3 linked regions of the Saccharomyces cerevisiae S288C genome follow. Each later gene encodes a partner of the first gene's protein in a complex. Each region holds a gene or a part of one and is shown on either strand. Other genes may lie near its edges.

Region 1 (8,010 bases):
CTATGGATCGCTACTAACAAGATTATTATTTGCGCCGATCGAAGAATCTCTGCGGTTATTTTTGGCCCGTTTATTATCCTCGCATAACCCTAAAAATTTAAAACTATCTATTGAAGTCCTGGTGAATTTAACAAGGTTTTACATATACTTATCGTTAATGATCATTGTATTTGGGCCTGCCAATTCATCCTTTTTATTGCAGTTCTTGATTGGCTCGAAATGGTCCACTACTTCCGTTTTGGACACTATAAGAGTCTACTGCTTTTACATCCCATTTTTATCGCTTAATGGTATTTTTGAAGCTTTTTTCCAGAGTGTAGCCACTGGTGACCAAATTTTGAAACATTCATATTTTATGATGGCCTTTTCTGGTATTTTCCTGCTCAATTCCTGGCTTCTTATTGAAAAACTCAAACTATCAATCGAAGGCTTGATATTGAGTAACATCATTAACATGGTGTTGAGAATATTGTATTGTGGAGTTTTCTTGAATAAATTTCATAGGGAACTGTTTACAGATTCCTCTTTTTTCTTCAATTTTAAGGATTTCAAAACAGTTATTATTGCTGGCTCAACGATCTGTCTACTTGACTGGTGGTTTATTGGGTACGTTAAAAATTTACAACAATTTGTTGTTAACGTATTATTCGCAATGGGATTGTTAGCGTTAATTTTGGTCAAGGAGCGCCAAACCATACAATCTTTTATTAACAAGAGGGCGGTTTCCAATTCTAAAGATGTATAAACAAAAATTCTTATATAACTTAGGCGACACATAATATGCGCTTAAATAACATATAGTGAGTATATTATCAAAAAGCATTCATTTTTTTTTATTTATTAGTCCTTCAGAAAGTTAGTTTGTATGTACTATATGATGTGAAAGTGCTGAAAAATTACCCAATAAAAGATAGGCAACCAAGAGAGAAGCTATTTCACCGTAAAGAAAATCCCTTTCCTTGTCAGGACACTATGTCATCAAGCGAAAACACGTTACTGGATGGAAAGTCAGAGAACACAATACGATTTTTAACTTTCAATGTCAATGGTATAAGAACCTTTTTTCATTATCAACCATTTTCTCAAATGAATCAATCCCTTAGATCTGTTTTCGACTTTTTTCGAGCAGACATAATAACATTCCAAGAGCTCAAGACGGAAAAATTGTCTATCTCTAAGTGGGGGAGAGTTGATGGTTTTTATTCTTTTATTTCTATCCCTCAAACCAGAAAGGGATATTCTGGCGTTGGCTGCTGGATTAGAATTCCGGAAAAGAACCACCCACTATACCATGCATTACAAGTCGTTAAGGCAGAAGAAGGTATAACGGGTTACTTGACAATAAAAAATGGTAAGCATTCAGCAATCTCCTATAGAAACGACGTAAATCAAGGAATTGGTGGTTACGATTCTTTAGATCCCGATTTAGATGAGAAAAGTGCACTGGAACTAGATTCAGAAGGCAGATGTGTTATGGTTGAACTGGCATGTGGAATAGTTATTATCAGTGTATATTGTCCCGCAAATTCGAACTCATCGGAGGAGGGTGAGATGTTTAGATTAAGGTTCTTGAAAGTTTTATTAAGAAGAGTTCGGAATTTGGACAAAATTGGGAAGAAGATTGTGCTAATGGGCGACGTAAATGTTTGCCGGGATCTTATAGACAGTGCCGATACATTAGAACAATTCTCAATTCCAATAACAGATCCCATGGGTGGAACAAAGTTAGAAGCACAATATAGGGATAAAGCAATCCAATTTATTATCAATCCGGACACGCCACATCGGAGGATATTTAATCAAATATTGGCTGATTCACTTTTACCAGACGCGAGTAAAAGGGGGATACTGATAGACACTACGAGGCTAATTCAAACAAGAAATCGACTTAAAATGTATACAGTCTGGAATATGTTAAAAAATTTAAGACCTTCGAATTATGGCTCACGGATAGATTTTATCCTAGTGTCCTTAAAGCTTGAACGATGCATAAAAGCAGCTGACATTCTTCCGGATATATTGGGCTCTGACCATTGTCCTGTGTATTCTGATTTAGATATACTGGACGACAGAATTGAACCTGGTACGACACAAGTTCCCATACCAAAATTCGAAGCAAGGTACAAATATAATTTAAGAAACCATAATGTTTTAGAGATGTTTGCCAAAAAGGATACGAATAAAGAATCTAATAAACAAAAATATTGTGTATCAAAAGTCATGAATACCAAAAAAAACAGCAACATCAAAAACAAATCGCTCGACTCATTTTTCCAGAAGGTAAATGGAGAAAAAGATGACAGGATTAAAGAATCCTCTGAAATTCCACAGCAAGCTAAAAAAAGAATCTCCACGCCAAAGTTGAATTTCAAGGATGTCTTTGGAAAGCCTCCCCTGTGCAGGCATGGGGAGGAATCCATGCTGAAAACATCGAAAACTTCGGCCAATCCAGGTAGAAAGTTCTGGATTTGCAAGAGATCTCGGGGTGATTCAAATAATACAGAATCATCTTGTGGGTTTTTTCAGTGGGTTTAAATATGAAAACGTCAGCTGATATTTTGGGAGAATAAAACACTTTCTTCTATGCCCAAGTTTTTTTAAATAATAAACTGATATTCTATATACATTTACAGTCTTGTTCTTCTTCTTCCATTACTTTTTTCAGCCATAGGCGGTCATCGTCAGTAACCTCCAGAAGTCTCAAACTGGAAGATTCTTGTAGAATTGACACTGTTAATGGTGAACCGACGAGTTCATCAGTAGATATGTATGTACTGATGGACGAAGAAAATGTATCTTTATCCGCATGATTTACTCTGATGTAAGCCAGCTTATCGTCAACATGCAGGAATGAATATTCTACACCTTCACCAAAAATACCATAACTACGTTTCAATGCGTTATTTAACCATTGCCTCCATGTCATTTGATCAATAGCATGTGCATCGTCCACATCTTGATCGAATGAAGTACTATAAATATTAAAGTACGTTAGTAGTTTATTTCTCTTCGGTAGTTGAGACTCAAAAAGTCAAAAATATACATACATTGATAACTTGAAATATTGCCATTCTCTAAAAGTCTTTTTCCCCATCACAACTGGCCATTTATCAAACTATTTATCTGCCTTTTCTTATTCTGATTATCCTATAAAGCTGAACAGTAAAGCTTGTAAAATTACGCGATGACTTATGTATTGAAGTTATGACGTTCTCGATGATCTTCAGTCAAACAACCACTTTCCCGTAACATATGATATATCCCACCCGCTTCCTTGTACGCATTATTACGGTTCTGCTTTGAAGATGGAGATTCAGTACTTGCAGTTATTTGAATTGCACCAGTACTGATCATGCCAAGTTTCTTTGGCTTGTGAAAGAACTTGATATTCTGTCTAAAGGATCTGCTCGTTTTTGTTTATGAAAAGTATATGGAATTATCTACTCTATGTAAAGTAATCTCTCTACTGGTTTTCGTTAGATGGCGCTGTAGAATCAGGCCTGTCGATGTTTTCCTCATTTCCTTCTGGTAATGTATCTGGAACATCGGTGGTCGTAGGTTGATCTGTATATGATGTATGCTCTTCTTCAAGTGTTGGAACATCATCTTCTTCGATTTCAAAATTACTACCCTGATCCATGAAACTGGATAAGTCATTGGCGTCTTCATCGTGGCCAGCAAGCAGGTCATCTGCTTCATCCAAAAATTGATCATGGATCAGGGATGAGTAGCTTGGACCTGTTCTGTTTCCAAACCTTCCTCTAATTTTGGAGATAGCATGCGCTATATTAGTTTTTGTGTGCTGTAAAAGAGACCCGATATTTGAGAAAACGTAAAATCCTGATTTCACAATGTTATTGACAACTCTGTCAGTATTATTGTTTTCTATTAAACCATCGTCACCTAGCCTAATTTCTCCAAACCTTGCAAATCCCCCATTTCTTCTGATACCTCTGTCATATACAAACCATGCGGCAAAGAAAATTATTAAAAGAATTGAAATGAAAATAAATGCAAAGGGACCGGCACTTACTGAGTACTTTTCCTTGAATTCTTTTTCTTTTCCTGGGCAAGCATGTGGTGATGAGGGAGCATCCAATTTCAGGCCACCCTCACAGGTTGATAGAGGGATCTTTCTGTAGCCTGACGATTCAAAATATTCGATTAAATCTGGCTCTTTTTTACAAACGTCTGCAGCATTTGCTGGGCTTAGTCCTTTGACTAATTTACAAGTACCATCGTTAGCTTTGTAAAAGTTGTAATCACACTCGAAATCTTGTCTTGTACAAGAACAGTTTTTGATATTTCTTGAAAATTCAGAAAGTGGAATATTCCCAATAAAACAATTTTCATCGGTTTTACGTAAAAACTCGGTTTGGTGACCAAATAGGCAATTGCTTTTGGAACCCAGAGGAGAGTATTTATAATCTGCGCTTTCCTTACCAGTGATGTCGAAATCACATTGTCTTTCGAAGATGTTTCTAAAATCAATTGTGTACGTTCTAAATGAGCTGCCTCCAATATCTGCTGCCTCTCCAAACAGCAAAAATCTCAAAGCAGAATCCCTGGGAACAGTGGTTATATCCTTTACTAAAACCTTATCAGCGCAGAATTTATAATCTTTCCATGTTTTACCAAAATCGGTAGAATAGGAAATAGAATCAGTTTCTGAGTTTTCAGGAACTAAAACTAAAATCCCACCGTGGTCACCGTATTCCCATTGGTGAGGAGTCTTCTTAACTTCAGCCCACGTTTCGCCACCATCGGTGGTGAAGAAGGTGGAACATTCTTTATATGGTAAAAGGTTAGGACCAACGTTGCCAACGCCGAACATCATTCCTAATGCAGAACCGGAAGAATATGTATCTCTAATATCCTTACGTTCAGTATAGCCATGTAAGTGCAATGAACACTCATCCAGTGATTTGGAGCTGCAAGAAAACTTTTTTCCTTCTGAATCCCTCTTCGGAGGTTTCAAAAAGTTCCAATCTGAACCTTCATTAAAGGTGATCTTCGTCTTCAATTGTTTGTCTTCTTTATTCTCGGCGACCTTGTCACTATTTGAAACGATGTTGGTGAGAATAATGCCTTCGAGACCTTGAATTTTTTCAAAGTCAACATAGCCGAATGTGTTTCTATTAACGGCATGCTCCAACGTGACAAAAGAAGTACCATTTGAGTTGGATTTCAAAAGATTGCCAAAATCGCGTCCTGGTACTAAGTTTGTTGCTAAATGTAAGAATATCGATCCTTTCTCAGACTCTAATATAGTGAATGCCTCTTGCTTCCCAACATCTTCATCATATGGGAATTTTGCCTCGGCAAACTCAGTACCATCGATAGTTACGTATGCTCTCAATTCGTTGTTCTCATGAGGAACAGCAACGATGATATAGCCACCAGTGGATAAGTAGCCGATAATATTTTCAAAGACGGTATTTTTATCATCCTGGAAAAAATCAGTAGAAGAAACTAAGCTTCTTGTCTGCGAAGACTTTTCCTTCACTTGACACATAACCATATCCTCATTTGACGGATATTTGAAAAGTGAGCCCGCAAACTCACAATGAATTGCATTATCAAGCATTTCCGTAAACGTTTCGCCCCCATCATTGGTCAGGTATGCTACCGCATGACATTCCGGACTTAAGATTGACTCACAATTCTTACCACCATAATAGATAAATGTATCCTGTGCCTTAGCGTTAAAGTCTAATGGCATACCTAACTGCCTAGCCTCGGGCAATTTAGCAGTCATAAAAGAGTATCCCCTATCATGGGTAGAGAAAATGCTACCTTTGGAACCAAACAGATAAGCTGAAGAATTGTAGTATGGATTAAACACAACTTCAATAATTGTTTCACCATTACTGTCGAACCTTTTTATTGTTTGTCCACCATCATGAGATATATAAGCTTCTCCTCTTGAATTGATCATGAGGAGGGATTCGTCGGTGACTGTGTCAAAGTATTGATAGAATTGAATCTTGAAATCAAATTTGTTTTCTGTAACCACTATTTCTTTATCATTCGTTCCCTTCTTTGGAACTCCCTCACACGAAATATCCACTGATTTGACTGTCATTGGTTTTTTACATTTATCACCTTTAACTAGTTGCAATGGTTTTACAGGCACAGTTTTTTTCTTTGTCTTATCACATACGTCAGAGAGAACGATTAGGTTGTAGTCTGGTACGCATTTCCCGGTCGCGTCCCTAACAAATTCAAACGCGCATTCGTAATCAGCCTCGGTACACTTGTCACAAGCAGTCTCAAATAATTGTAAGTCTTCAAAAACTTTCTTCACCAAGCACTGAGCGTCCTGTTTTCTTCTTCTGATCTTGTACTTGACTCCATTGACACACTTCCCCTCAGCTAAATTCCAATCCTCGAAATCATTTTCTTCGCATGTCTTATCATTAAAGGCTGTTGAAAAATCAATTGCATAGATGAAATTCGTTGTACCATCCATATGCGCCAAAGTAAACCCATTTAGAATAAATTTAGCTCCAGATCCGTCGGGCGTTGTATTCATTACTTCATTTGGGTAGATAGTAGTTTCTAGCTGATATTCGGTCCAAGTTTTACCTTGGTCTAAAGAGTAATAAAATTCGGATTGAGGATCGTCGTCTTCATCCGCATTATACGGTATAGCCACAATAACATTTCCGTAATCACCAACAGCGTATAAACAAGGAAAATCAAAGGCGAGTTTCCATGTTAAGCCACCATCCCTAGAAATAAAGGTTCTTTGATCTCCCCAGTCGAAGACACTACCATCGCCAACAATACCTGTTGTCATTAGAATTCCGGCGGTTGGAGTGGAACCCTCCCGTGTGTAAAACATATTTTGAAGCGAACAATTCTCAAAATCAGTAATATCACAGTCGAATGAGTCTGCGTTATCTGGATCAACAACTTTTAACATTGTCCATGTGAGGCCATTATCAACAGATATTTTGGTTACCCCCTTACTCTTTACTCCTTTGGCTTTTCCTTTACGGTTACGACGCCTAGATAGAGGGTAAAGTGAGGCAATCATCGTTCCTTTCAAGTAAGTAGGTTGATAAAAATTAATATAACCAAACACCTCATTTGCGGTCCATGGGATGGGGGAAAATTTTAACCCTTGTGAGTCGGAAATTAAAATTTCAGACACGATGCCCTTATCCTCCTCTTGATCACTTCTTTCCCTACTCATGGGCAAGATAATTCTTCCCATAGCGTCCTCATATATTTCTCCTTGCATAGAATGCCTTAACTGAGTAGGCATGTAAGCCATTTTAAAGTTTGACAGATCATTTGATACCCACACATCCATGGAAGACATATCATTATATCTGTCGCCCTGGGTTAAGACAACCATGTGAGATTTCAATATCCTGTAACCATTGACGACCTTATCTTTAAATTGGTCAAATTCTTTTAGTGATTTGCCCCAGTCCGTAGTTAGGACCAATTTACTTTCGGTGTAAGGAGAACTAAACTCATCCATAATAAGCTGCATATTTTGAAAAAGACAGATTATTGAGGTATCACTACTTTCAAGGTCAGAATCTTTGCTGGTCTTGGCAAAGCCACAATCAGAAATGCTGATAGGACTATTTTCGTTCCTTTCTAGAGAAGACTTGATCTCAGAAAAGGATTTTCCACCATCATTACTTGCAAAAACCTTGTCTGTGCAACGTGTAATATTAAATATTTCAAATTGTCCCTCTTCGTCCCCCGAATTCTCTTCATTGTCATTGTTTACTTCTGTTTTCTCACAATAGTTGCACTTTGCAAGAAAATAGTTCTTATTCAAGGGATGGGTTTCTATATAGCATTCACGAGGTGAAATACTTTCTCCGGAGTCAGGTAGCGTTATACGCTCCCATGACTTACCTTGATCATTGGTTATATAAAGGTACGACCCATTCATTGCCGTTGCAACGGCTCTGTCATGTCTATTGAAGGGGTCGATGTATATCCAAGTGATTTCGCCTTCAATGCCTTCAACTTTTTCCCATG
Region 2 (5,207 bases), on another chromosome or scaffold:
GCAAGAAGTCATTTTTTGGTGGTGAGAGGAAGAGAAAGGCATTTACTGCTAAATGGAAAGCTGAAAACAAGCAATAGACGCTTTCGCAAGATCTCAATATATACATGTATACGTATATGTTCACATTATACTCCATATTCTTGTAAATATATAATAAACTCAGAAATTGTTGTCCTTCATTCATGTTGATATTTATATGAAACGCTGACTGGGCCTTTCAAATCTTCATCGGTTTGAAATTTGAATTGTAAATATGTTTTGAAGATACGATGAAATGAAAAATTGACGGCTTAACGAGAAGATGAGTGAAACAAGGATGGCACAGAACATGGATACTACAGATGAACAGTACCTGAGACTTATTGAGCTACTCTCAAACTATGATTCCACCTTAGAGCAGTTGCAGAAGGGGTTCCAGGATGGCTACATCCAATTGAGCAGATCGAACTACTATAATAAAGACTCATTACGAGGAAACTATGGTGAAGATTACTGGGATGAAACGTATATAGGTCAACTAATGGCAACAGTGGAAGAAAAAAACTCCAAGGTAGTTGTCGAAATCGTCAAAAGAAAAGCTCAAGATAAGCAAGAAAAGAAAGAGGAAGAAGATAATAAATTGACTCAGAGAAAAAAAGGAACGAAGCCAGAAAAGCAAAAAACTCAGAGTCACAAACTTAAACAAGACTACGACCCAATTTTGATGTTTGGTGGAGTACTGTCCGTTCCTTCTTCATTGAGACAATCGCAGACAAGTTTCAAAGGTTGTATTCCCTTAATAGCCCAATTGATTAATTACAAGAACGAAATATTAACGTTGGTTGAAACGTTGTCTGAGCAGGAATAAAGAGTTAAGAATATAGTAAAAAGAAATAATACATACGTGTATATTTGAAGAAAGAAATAATCATTAAAAGTTGTCGTAGATTAATTATAATAAAGTCCATGGTTTGAAAAAGAAAAAAAAAAATTAAGACCAAAATAAAAGCTCAATACCCAAAAGAAAACCGAACACCGTAATAATACAAAATCCCATAAAACACCATGTGATGGACTTAAAGACAGAATTTGGAAGCAGTTCAAAGAAGAGGAGGAAAGAAGAAAACTAGTTCAGGTATTTCGAGGAGTACTAGTTTCACTACATTGATAGTAGAATTTTAGCACGTCATCCACAGATATTCTGTTACCAGGGGAATTTAGCGACTGATCTACATTGAAACAATTTCCTAATTCGGGCGTATGTAGCGCACTCAACTCTCTTGGCTTGAATTTGCCAGAAAATGATGAAACAGAGGGAGAGGAAGGATTGGTCTTTTCGCTGACGCTATCTCCAAGAACAGAAGGAAATGTATAATTTCTCAAGTCTTCCAAGGTCATTTCCAAATCTGTAGGCGAGTCTAATTGCTTATTGCCATTTGGGGTATTGTTGGTTTCGTTACCATCGTGGTGAGAATCCATCGTTGTAGCTATTGTGGAGGAAGACACTATTCTGCTCGAATCGTTCATCACAACATTGGAATATTTAGAAGAGACGTTTGAATCTGGTCGGGGTTGCGGTGCCAAAGACGTGAATTTGACTAATGATTCTACATCATGTTTTTCTTCGTGCGACTCAAGAGGGTTGTCTTCCCTTTTACCATTAGCATGCGAAATATGGTGAAAATCAAATGGTGTAGATATACTTGACTGTTTTGCGGTTTTGGCAGACCCATGTCTCCTCGACAACAGGTCCTTTTTTTTGAACATGCCCAGGAAATTCTTCTTTTTATTAGTTAATGACTTGTGATTGGAATTTATGTTAGGGTTGATCGTCATGTAATTGGGCAAAGGGGGCAATTTGATGTTGTTCTTGTTCGGCAAAGCCAGCTTTTTACTGTCAACGAGAACAATTCCTAAATCTTCGTCGGCGTCTTCATCGGAATCCGTACTAGGTCCATTCATGAATCGTTGCCTTACTTGGAATCCATACAATTTTTCCATTTCCTGATCCTCGTCAATCCAAATGGATTTCATTTGAGGAAGCTCCATCTGTTGCAGCCTCTTTCCTTCAGTCATCCTTTAGAATTTATCACACAATTAATAAGCGAGTATTCAGAGTGAATTATAAACAATAAACAATAGAAATAAGTCTTTCTTAAAAAAAAGTAGTGATAGTCCGTACGAAGATAATTAATTGCAGAATAGTTTTCAATGGTTTCAGCTCTCAGTAAATCCTACAGGTACAATGTAACAGAATATGCCTTGGATCCCCAAATTTTTTTGTCTATTCGTTGTTTTCCTTCTCTATGGAAATCGTCGAAAAATTTCTTTGTTTTTTTTTTCCTTTATTGTTGTTGTCTTTTCGCGAATTCGCGTCGCGATTCGTGGATTGTGATGATAATAGCGATGTCTACTACCCGGGTACGTATTTAATTATCATTTATACATTATATGTTATAGGTTAGCGTATCGTTTTAAGGCTTGTGTCTTTTGGAAGCATGGCCTAATTGTTCAGCATCCATACTCCTTTTCACTACCTTGATGGTCTGGACGTCGTCGATGCCTTGAACATCGTTGACCACGTCATCGCCGTTTCCGCTACCACCACCGGTAACAATGGTCTGTTTGTGGCTCTTATTCCTTAAGCGGCCATTTAGGAGGACGAGTGAAGCTAGGTCTCCCATGGCCTTCGAACACCTATCGCTCGGAAGACCTAAATTCTTGATTAGACTTGTTACTCCTAATATGTTGCGGCACTCAAGTGGTGACATGGCACCACTGCCGATAACAATGCCTCTGGACCTCGAACTCCTGATGACGCTTCTTACATTGGATACGAACTGCCTCCGAGCTTGTACGTCACGCAAAGCATAGCCATAAACAATTTCAAGTTTTACTCCTCTGTTCACACAGCTGCATATGCTTTTATGCTTAAGGAAAGTAGGCAGGCGCGACCCGTACTGAAAGGTCAACAAGTCAATATCCAGATTGGTAGTTGATAAAGTAAGGCCCTTTTCACTGATTGGCAATGCTGCTACAATATCAAAGGCCTGGCTTATCTTGGAAAGAGACTGTCCCTTCGATGGATCGTCGATAATTAGCGTGATCCTGCTGTATAATTTTAGCCCTGTTCGATCCATCAATTCTCCAAACCTTCTCTTGATATCGATAGGATTTAACAGCTTAACATCGTTGGGGAATTTCTCGCTGTGGTTTACTGTAAAATTTATGGCGATGTGTGTATATCCCAACATATGCAATGTGGATAACGTTTTTATTAAATTGTTGACCGCCTGAGAAGTAACTTTGTCTGCATAGCTGTTCTGTGGCCACGGTACATTCAAATCTACCAGCATTCTCGGTTCTATAATGCTTTCACTTTTGTTTTTTGTGTCTGTTTAGGTTAAGTATTTTCTACTGGTAAAATGAAATTTTTTCATTTATGCGAGGTAAAATTCTGGGCATCGCACATACATTTTTCATGTTTTCTGGTAGTAGTAACAAAAGAGAGGCACTTGACAAATTAATCTGCCTTCAGACTGTTAAGGTTCGCTCGAATAAAGCATTAAGAGTGTATATATATCAGTATTTATAAATGTATATGTTCTGGCTGATATCCGCGCATTTTCAGTCCTTTCTCCAGTCACCATTGATACTTCTCGACCTGTTCAATGCTAATCTCATAGTGGCCAATTCTCCGATAGTTTTATTAACCTTGCAGCAGTTTGGGTCTAGATTTAAGTTATCAGCCAATTTGACGACATAGCCATTGATATACTCAATTTCAATGTCTCTTAAGAACAAAGTGTCTTGTCTCATTGAACTACTGTTCCTAGAATTGATGTCACAGCCAATTCTAGTGACTTCGGAGACCATGTTATCGGTTGTCAGTACTGCATTGACATCCATTTCTGGGTATTCTTCATTACCGCTGTATTTTTCGTGGTATTGAAACAATGGCCTATAAGCAACTCTCAATATTTGTAAACACTCGTCAATAATAGATGTGAAAACTGGACCGCAACTGGCCTTCATCTCACCATTGACACAATCTAGAATAGCCGTAACTGGATTCATGCATGCATTAACCAAAAATTTAAATAATTGACCAAAGAGCATTTCTTGATAAGTGGAATGTTCTATTCCAAATTCCTTGGCAAATTTTGGTTCTGTTAATAATTTTACTAATGAGTTATTGGCTGCATCGTCCTCGACTACGGATTTTTTTTGAATCATTTCTTCCTCAGTCCAAGGCAATTTGGCAATTTTCATACCAGCCCACCCAGCATGATTGAAAACTCCTGCTTTATCCTGATAAACGCCATGAGAAATGACACCCTGAAATAAATGTGGTCTGTTTTTTGAATCTGTAAAGATTTCTTCTCTCAATAGTTCTAAAACGCCCAGTCCATTCTGAATCAAAATTAAGTTTGTATTTTTATTAATATAAGGCAAATAAGGAGCTAGTGCTTCTTTGGTTTGGTAAGTCTTTGTAGTGACGACTAAGTTGTCAATAGGTTTTTTAGAGAAAGTTTCAGGGCATTCGCATTTCTCCACTGGATAAGAAAATATTGGCGAGCCTTCCAAATAAAGTTTGCGAATCGAAATGTTGTTCCCATTTGTCTTCTGAAATTGTGCAAGTCTTTCTTGTGATCTAAATAAGGGCACAACTAGGGCATTGGTAAATCTTAAAAGGTCAACTGCCAAAACGGTACCCATGGCACCCAACCCAAGAATATGAATAGTACTTCTGTGTGGTGCAGTCATATTGTACAGACTTTATCGTATACGTATATTATCGATTTCTCCTATCGATCGTAACATACAAAGGTGAGTATAAAGTATCTTGTTTTTTTAATATATTTGTATTAAGCTGAATGGCACGATAAGCCTTTCTCGAGAAACCGTTAGCGGCCGCCAATCTATAAAAAAAAGAAATCGGAAACATGAAATATGAATTTGAATAGAACGTGACTCAACAGAAAGTCACAAACCTAACCATAATAACCTTGCTATAGCATTTTTTGACTTAATTTTATATGTTCTTTTTTCAAGGGCTGTATAGTTCCATCATGTATGTATTTTTCTATATACGTATACATACCGTTTTTCTTAGAGCGCTCTATAATTCACCCTTTACAGCATTACCAGTTTTCAAATCTCTAGCGGTGACTCTTAAAGCACCGTCTTTGTTAATGTTAAAGATAATTTCAACACCGTTAGCGTTT
Region 3 (7,025 bases), on another chromosome or scaffold:
AATCTCGGAGTACTAGAGGGAGACTACGTAGATATTGGTGCAATATTCCCACACACAACAAATACAGAAGATGTAGACGAATATGATTGTTTTCAAGATATTCATTGCAAGAAACAGAAGATTGTTGTTATGGGAAACACACACACTGTTAATGCGAATTTAACAGATTATGAAGTAGAAGGCGTCCTTGTAGAGAAGGAAACGGTAGGTATTCACAGTCCTATTGATGAAAAATGCTAGTGTAAGGAATTCACTAGTTCATAAGCATATATACTTGTTTTAATATATTCCCTAAAACTGAGGTATCCAGTTCTTTTGTTCTTATTCGTTTGATCATCCTTTACGTATTTTTCGTCTGCGGCAGTGGAAAGAACTTAAAAAACGAAAGATAATAAAGAAAAAGGCCAGTCGGCACGAATTAAAGACCACCTGTAAGAAGATTAAGACAACGGTGGTATAAACTAGTGTCGAAGTCCAAAATGCCTAGTCATCGCAATTCAAACTTGAAGTTTTGCACAGTTTGTGCATCAAACAACAATCGTTCAATGGAATCGCATAAAGTCCTGCAAGAAGCAGGCTATAATGTTAGCTCTTACGGAACAGGTTCAGCTGTGAGACTGCCTGGTCTATCGATAGATAAGCCTAATGTGTACTCATTTGGTACACCCTATAATGATATATATAATGATCTTTTATCACAATCAGCAGACCGTTACAAGTCGAACGGTTTATTGCAAATGCTGGATCGTAATAGAAGACTCAAAAAAGCACCTGAAAAATGGCAAGAAAGTACAAAAGTCTTCGACTTCGTTTTCACTTGTGAAGAGAGATGTTTTGATGCCGTTTGTGAAGATTTGATGAATAGAGGTGGGAAATTAAACAAAATAGTGCATGTAATTAATGTTGACATTAAAGATGATGATGAAAATGCTAAAATTGGTAGCAAAGCTATATTGGAATTAGCTGATATGCTCAATGATAAAATAGAACAATGTGAAAAAGATGACATTCCCTTTGAAGATTGTATAATGGACATTTTAACTGAGTGGCAAAGCTCACATTCTCAACTACCGTCATTATACGCTCCTTCATATTACTAAACAAAACGGTCAATTACTGTAGAAAAGCATAAGCATTAAGCGGCCCTCATGAATCCTACATTATCCGTGAAATTTCAATACTTTCACAAGTCTTCGATAGCTTCCTAGTTATATTCATTATATAATATTACGTTTCTTGTTGCGGCTCTCTTAAGCACATTATTTGCTTGTTGTCCACATAGCTATTTTTTTATCAAGAAGCTTGATATACAACACACTGTATTTTTAGTAAGCTGGACAATGTCTTGTCTCAATGTAGCGTATAACAGGTTTCATTCCAAAACACATCACCAGATATAGGACTGAAATGAAGAAAATAGAAGCATGAAACTTTAAAAGTTTCAGTACTTTAAGAAAGAAATAAATAGAAAAATGTTCCATTTATTTCTGAAAATAAATCAAAAATTATAAGATCCACCCGTTCCTACCAAGACCTTCCAAAATTTTTCCCATAACGGGAACGAGCAAAGTTGAGACTGCTCAAAAGAGCACATCTTCAAACTACAATCCCGACCAAATAATCTCAACAGCCATACCTTCATCATAAACTTAAGTTCATTCGAATCTGCCGTCAAAAACTAAAATGGCACGCTAGAGAAAAGTAGTCAAAAAGAATGCCTCTACAAAGCTCTCTTTTGAAAGGCCCCAGCTCCCCTAACACCAATTTGAATTTGGTGTCAAACTTCTCCAGGCAGAAGAAACAAAGGGCCCCAAAAATCAGTTTAACCCAAAAATCCCCAAAGGAATCAAGGGATTAACCAATGATTGAAACAAGGGAATGGAAACGTCAGCAAACACGCCTTCCGCGCCGTATGTGTGTGTGACCAAGGAGTTTGCATCAATGACTTCAATGAACAATTATAGTTCAATGATAAATGCTTAACGTCCTTCTACTATTGGAAGCGCATGTTTGATCAGTAGGACTTCTTGATCTCCTCTGATATCTTAAGGTAAGTATGAGGATTTTAAAAAAATTCAAGAAAAAACTATATTTTAACGCTAAAAGTATGTTTGTAAAATAGTTCTATTAAATGGAACTTCTTCTCTCTATTTATACGTCTTGCCAATGGAAAACTCGTCGCCTTAGAAAAAAAAAAGGTGCAAAGACGGGTAATAATTTCATTGACATTTTCAAGAGCTAGGGAATGAATCAATGAGCCCTATGATGGCAGCGTAGATCACCGTATTTAAATTAACATATAATAAGATTTGTTGCCACTTTCAATCTCTAAATGTGTACGTATAGAGTTCCAGGAAGCAAAAAGACCATTATTGCGCGATATGATTGCTATTTGCCCTCTGTATACATAGCTTTATAGGATATCGGTCGTACATATAATTCAGTTCAGTTCATTATACGGATATTTTCGACCACTCCCCCAACCTATAAGTGTTGGTACCTACATTTCTGATCAGTACATACCTAGTTGGTTGCCGGATGGCCGCATGATGATCTATAAATCCGATTCCCATACCATTTCCACAATTTAAGTGGTAGGTGCCGCTGGTAATAAAACCAATCAAATCATGTACCTCTGGAAGTGGAATTTTCAAATCATGATCTTTTCTTCCGTTTGGGCGGTAAACCCCTTTTGCCAATTGTAGCCAATGCTCTAAGTCCTTTTCTGGAACTTGATATATTCTTGCATTGTCCTTTGGGTGACCTCGTTCGAGTAGTGTGCAAGATACAGCAATGATACAACGTGGGAAGAATGTAAGGGAGAATGAAGAACTATTGACGCTAATGCTATCAGGAGTGCGAAATTGACATTTCCGATTTTTACACAATGCAACTGGTATGTTCTCTTCAATCGACAACGACATAGCCTTGGTCTTGGCTTCATAATCTTTGCAAAACTCCAAAACATCATTTACACAGTTGATGTCTCTTACACCCTGAGCGTTAAATTGCCCGGTCTTCTTACTGTCCATCAGTTCTAAGGTTTTATCATTCCGCTGTAAATAATCAATTCCATTTCTCAGTATTTGTAAAAATCTCCAGTCTGAACTGAAAAAATCGCCGATTTCTCCGCTATATGCCGGTAATTTAGTGTTATGGATGTCTTTGATCTTCTCGAAATTAATCCTTTTTCCCATTGGCTTCCTATCCCACTTCGTCTTGGAGGCCTCCTTTTTATAAAATGAGTTTTCTATATAACCCAATTGAGTGAATGGATAATCATCCGGAAAATATAATTGCTTATTCTCGTACTGAATTTGCTGGAATTGCCTGAGGCCAATGTGATACATCCTTGGTATCCGGTTCAGTAGATGCCATAACGGTAGCAGCCAGAACCATGGTAACACAACAATCCAATCCCTGGTCTTGAGCCTTCTTATTATGACTAATGGAATAGAAGGATCGTCACTTTCTTTGAACGGGACTGTAGTTTTATTGATGCTGTTCGGTGTGGCAGTTAGCAATTTGTAACGTCTCGCAGAAATTTCTTTTAATGTGTTTTGGTTGTTGTATGATTGAGTACGTGATTCAGGGTCACATAATTCGTTAAAAACGGCGTTTATTTCGTCTTGAGGATAGTTTTCATGCAGTGATAAAATGTCGTCAGAATTAACAGTCTTCCTCTGTGAATCATTTAATTTCTTTGGAGCAGCTAGATGACGCGGATCTATGGCTTCAAATGCAAACGTACACCTCTGTGGTAGGGCATTATGATCGGTAATCATTGAAACCATTTTAAATTGTTCAAACGATTTAGAGTACTCTGTGCTCCTTAAACACGATGCTAATGACTCTAGAGCTTTAGCTCCCTTCAATGTCACGCTTGCTAATGAATATCGACAATCTTGTACTGTTAGTTTTTCCTTATGTTGCAAAAGAATGTTAAAAACCTGAGTATAAATTGAAGGGTGTAACCTTATAATTGCAGTATCCTTTTGTACCCAAAATACGTCGCATGGACCCAGTGGCTTAGTAGAATCCTCACCGTTTTCTTCATTGAAACTATAAATTAACCCTTGGAATAAAACCTGGCCTTCGCGATATTTCCTTAAGTTTGCTCTTTCAGCTGTTAACTTTCCTATAATGGATTTTAAAAAGTCCCCCTCACTGTCATTGCTTTTGTCTTTTACAATTATTGTACCAATATAACTTGAATCCATGCATAAGGCCCCATCGGAGCTGCAGGTATCACCGCCCAACCTATGCGTCAATTTAAAGCATTTTTGAGTAGGTGCCCATACCATTTGATATCCCCATCTTTTCATCATGTGCGACCTTTTAGCATTCCAAATGTGGGTGGGTAGCCAAGCAAAGTGCTTCTGTCTCTTCGTATATTTGACCCTGCCCTTGGGAATAGGTGCTAATTCATTGACACCAGTGCAATCATAGCTCCCCATACGATTATTAAGTAACTTTATATTTGGATTTGCTGTTGATGATTCTTTAATCATTCGCTTTAATGTCTTGATTTTCTGCCTTACGTGGCAGTTAGATGATGTAACCTCTGGTGGCATGCTGAGTTTCATAGAAGTAGATTTGCTAGCCAATCGTAGCAGCTTTATGGACATTCTAGCTTTATAAAGTTGCTTTGCATTTAGGCCATGAGCTTTTCTGGAAGAGGCTGAAGACCCCTTCAACACATCCTGCTGATCACTTTTACGCATTTCCCTCAAAGCTCTATTGCGCATTCTTTTTGGAATTCTACGAACATTATGCGAAGCCGTTCTACGACGCAATTTTCGAGGCAATGCCTGAAATATTCTCGTTGAGCTGGCTGCTTTGGAATTATGCATGGCCAATTGCAACTGCTTAACCTCGAATTGTCGAGAACTAATGAATTGGTCCACGTTTAGCTTACTTCCCGATTCACTCAGATCACTCGGTGTCCCAGTTTTTGTTGATGAAGCGGCCACGGCCTCTGCTCTAATTGATCTAGCATTTCTTATGCGATTTCGCTTCAGTAATTGATTCTTATTAAGAACTTTCTTTCCACCATTTCCTCTAGACAAACTCCCGCTCATTTGTAATTATAATGAGGTCAATTCTCACCTTTCTTGCCAAATGTTCAAGTGGCAGGCTGCTCAATAAGTATCCCCGTTCTTCAAAGACATGCCACCGTTCCGAGAATCTCATCGAATTCAGATCTGCTTTCTTCTAATGCGAATTTCACTGAAAAGTTTTCCCACAGTGTTACCCTCTTACCCGGGTGCAATGTCACGTGCACATCACATATGAAAAAATGACCAGCAAAGAAGTCAATCTACCTTCCTTATGGCCGGTAGAGTCAATAGTAATTTACTTTGCAACCAATTAATAAATCTGTAAACTTAAAGGAATCAGCAATTACCGCAACCCCAGAGAATCGGATGGTGAGATTAGTCCCATTCAATTCGCTCTCGTGACCAAATCGTCGGGAAAACATGTCCCACTTACCTGTTCCTGTGAATCCAGATACGGAAAAAAATTGTATTTAAATAATCTCGATTTTACATTTACTGATCGCGATCCTTTTCATTGAGTCACAGATTAACAAAGTAAATAATAATAAGTAAACATTATTTCTAAAAAAGTAATTTCTTTTTCTTACTAGTCTTTTCTTTTTTGACTTTCTCTTTATTTCTTAACTTGCCTTATAAAAGAAACGATTGTAGAAGCTTACCTCGACCGAGTAAATATTAAGCTTTTCGTTGGATAAGGTAGGGGAAATCGTAACATTACTAAATTTAAAGCATATCAGAATGGTTAACGTTGTATTGGGCTCCCAATGGGGTGATGAGGGTAAAGGTAAACTAGTTGATTTACTGGTTGGTAAATATGATATTGTAGCCCGTTGCGCCGGTGGTAACAATGCCGGGCATACCATTGTTGTAGACGGTGTTAAGTATGATTTCCATATGTTACCATCTGGTTTAGTCAACCCAAACTGCCAAAACCTTTTGGGTAATGGTGTTGTTATTCATGTTCCATCTTTTTTCAAAGAGTTGGAAACCTTGGAAGCTAAAGGTTTGAAGAACGCAAGGAGTAGATTATTTGTTTCTTCCAGAGCACATTTAGTCTTTGACTTTCATCAGGTGACTGACAAGCTAAGAGAATTGGAGTTATCAGGTCGTTCTAAAGATGGTAAAAATATCGGTACTACCGGTAAAGGTATTGGTCCAACTTATTCCACAAAGGCTTCTAGATCTGGTTTGAGAGTTCATCATTTGGTGAATGATCAACCCGGTGCCTGGGAGGAATTTGTTGCTAGATATAAGAGATTATTGGAAACGAGAAGACAAAGATACGGTGATTTCGAATACGACTTTGAAGCCAAGCTTGCTGAATACAAGAAGTTAAGAGAGCAACTAAAGCCATTCGTCGTCGATTCTGTCGTTTTCATGCACAATGCTATTGAAGCAAAGAAAAAGATATTGGTTGAGGGTGCTAATGCTTTGATGTTGGATATTGATTTTGGTACTTATCCATATGTGACTTCTTCCAATACTGGTATTGGTGGTGTCCTCACCGGTTTAGGTATTCCTCCACGTACTATTGATGAAATTTATGGTGTTGTTAAAGCCTACACAACTAGAGTTGGTGAAGGTCCTTTCCCAACGGAACAATTGAACGAAAATGGAGAAAAACTGCAGACCATTGGTGCTGAATTTGGTGTCACTACTGGTCGTAAGCGTCGTTGCGGTTGGTTAGACTTGGTAGTCTTGAAATACTCAACTTTGATCAATGGATACACGAGTTTGAACATTACCAAGTTAGACGTCCTCGATACTTTCAAAGAAATCCCAGTGGGTATTTCATATTCTATTCAAGGTAAGAAGCTAGATTTGTTCCCTGAAGACTTGAATATTCTTGGTAAAGTTGAAGTTGAATACAAAGTTTTGCCAGGTTGGGATCAAGATATTACCAAAATTACAAAGTATGAAGATTTGCCGGAAAACGCAAAGAAGTACTTAAAATATATTGAAGAT

What was found. Proteins that work in one complex are often made in the same cells at the same time.
Region 2: POP8 (region 1) and RPP1 share a complex: the UniProt entries of both Saccharomyces cerevisiae proteins name them as parts of the nuclear RNase P and RNase MRP complex.
Region 3: POP8 (region 1) and POP1 share a complex: the UniProt entries of both Saccharomyces cerevisiae proteins name them as parts of the nuclear RNase P and RNase MRP complex.

What each region holds. Positions count from the first base shown.
Region 1 is NC_001134.8:183,381-191,390, forward strand, and holds POP8 (ribonuclease P), read right to left. Parts: upstream 3,095-8,010; coding exon 3,048-3,094; intron 2,973-3,047; coding exon 2,618-2,972; downstream 1-2,617. Other genes in the region: RFT1 (glycolipid translocation protein), read left to right, coding at 1-745; DNA-(apurinic or apyrimidinic site) lyase APN2, read left to right, coding at 973-2,535; PEP1 (type I sorting receptor), read right to left, coding at 3,464-8,010. UniProt on the Saccharomyces cerevisiae protein: Component of ribonuclease P, a protein complex that generates mature tRNA molecules by cleaving their 5'-ends. Also a component of RNase MRP, which cleaves pre-rRNA sequences.
Region 2 is NC_001140.6:220,424-225,630, forward strand, and holds RPP1 (RNA-binding RNA processing protein RPP1), read right to left. Parts: upstream 3,336-5,207; coding exon 2,454-3,335; downstream 1-2,453. Other genes in the region: mitochondrial 37S ribosomal protein mS41 FYV4, read left to right, coding at 1-77; VMA22 (Vma22p), read left to right, coding at 302-847; GIC1 (Gic1p), read right to left, coding at 1,111-2,055; 2-dehydropantoate 2-reductase PAN5, read right to left, coding at 3,607-4,746; ribosome-associated complex protein SSZ1, read right to left, coding at 5,102-5,207. UniProt on the Saccharomyces cerevisiae protein: Component of ribonuclease P, a protein complex that generates mature tRNA molecules by cleaving their 5'-ends. Also a component of RNase MRP, which cleaves pre-rRNA sequences.
Region 3 is NC_001146.8:228,615-235,639, forward strand, and holds POP1 (ribonuclease P/MRP protein subunit POP1), read right to left. Parts: upstream 5,082-7,025; coding exon 2,454-5,081; downstream 1-2,453. Other genes in the region: cysteine protease ATG4, read left to right, coding at 1-240; SSU72 (RNA polymerase II subunit A C-terminal domain phosphatase), read left to right, coding at 480-1,100; ADE12 (adenylosuccinate synthase), read left to right, coding at 5,799-7,025. UniProt on the Saccharomyces cerevisiae protein: Required for processing of 5.8S rRNA (short form) at site A3 and for 5' and 3' processing of pre-tRNA.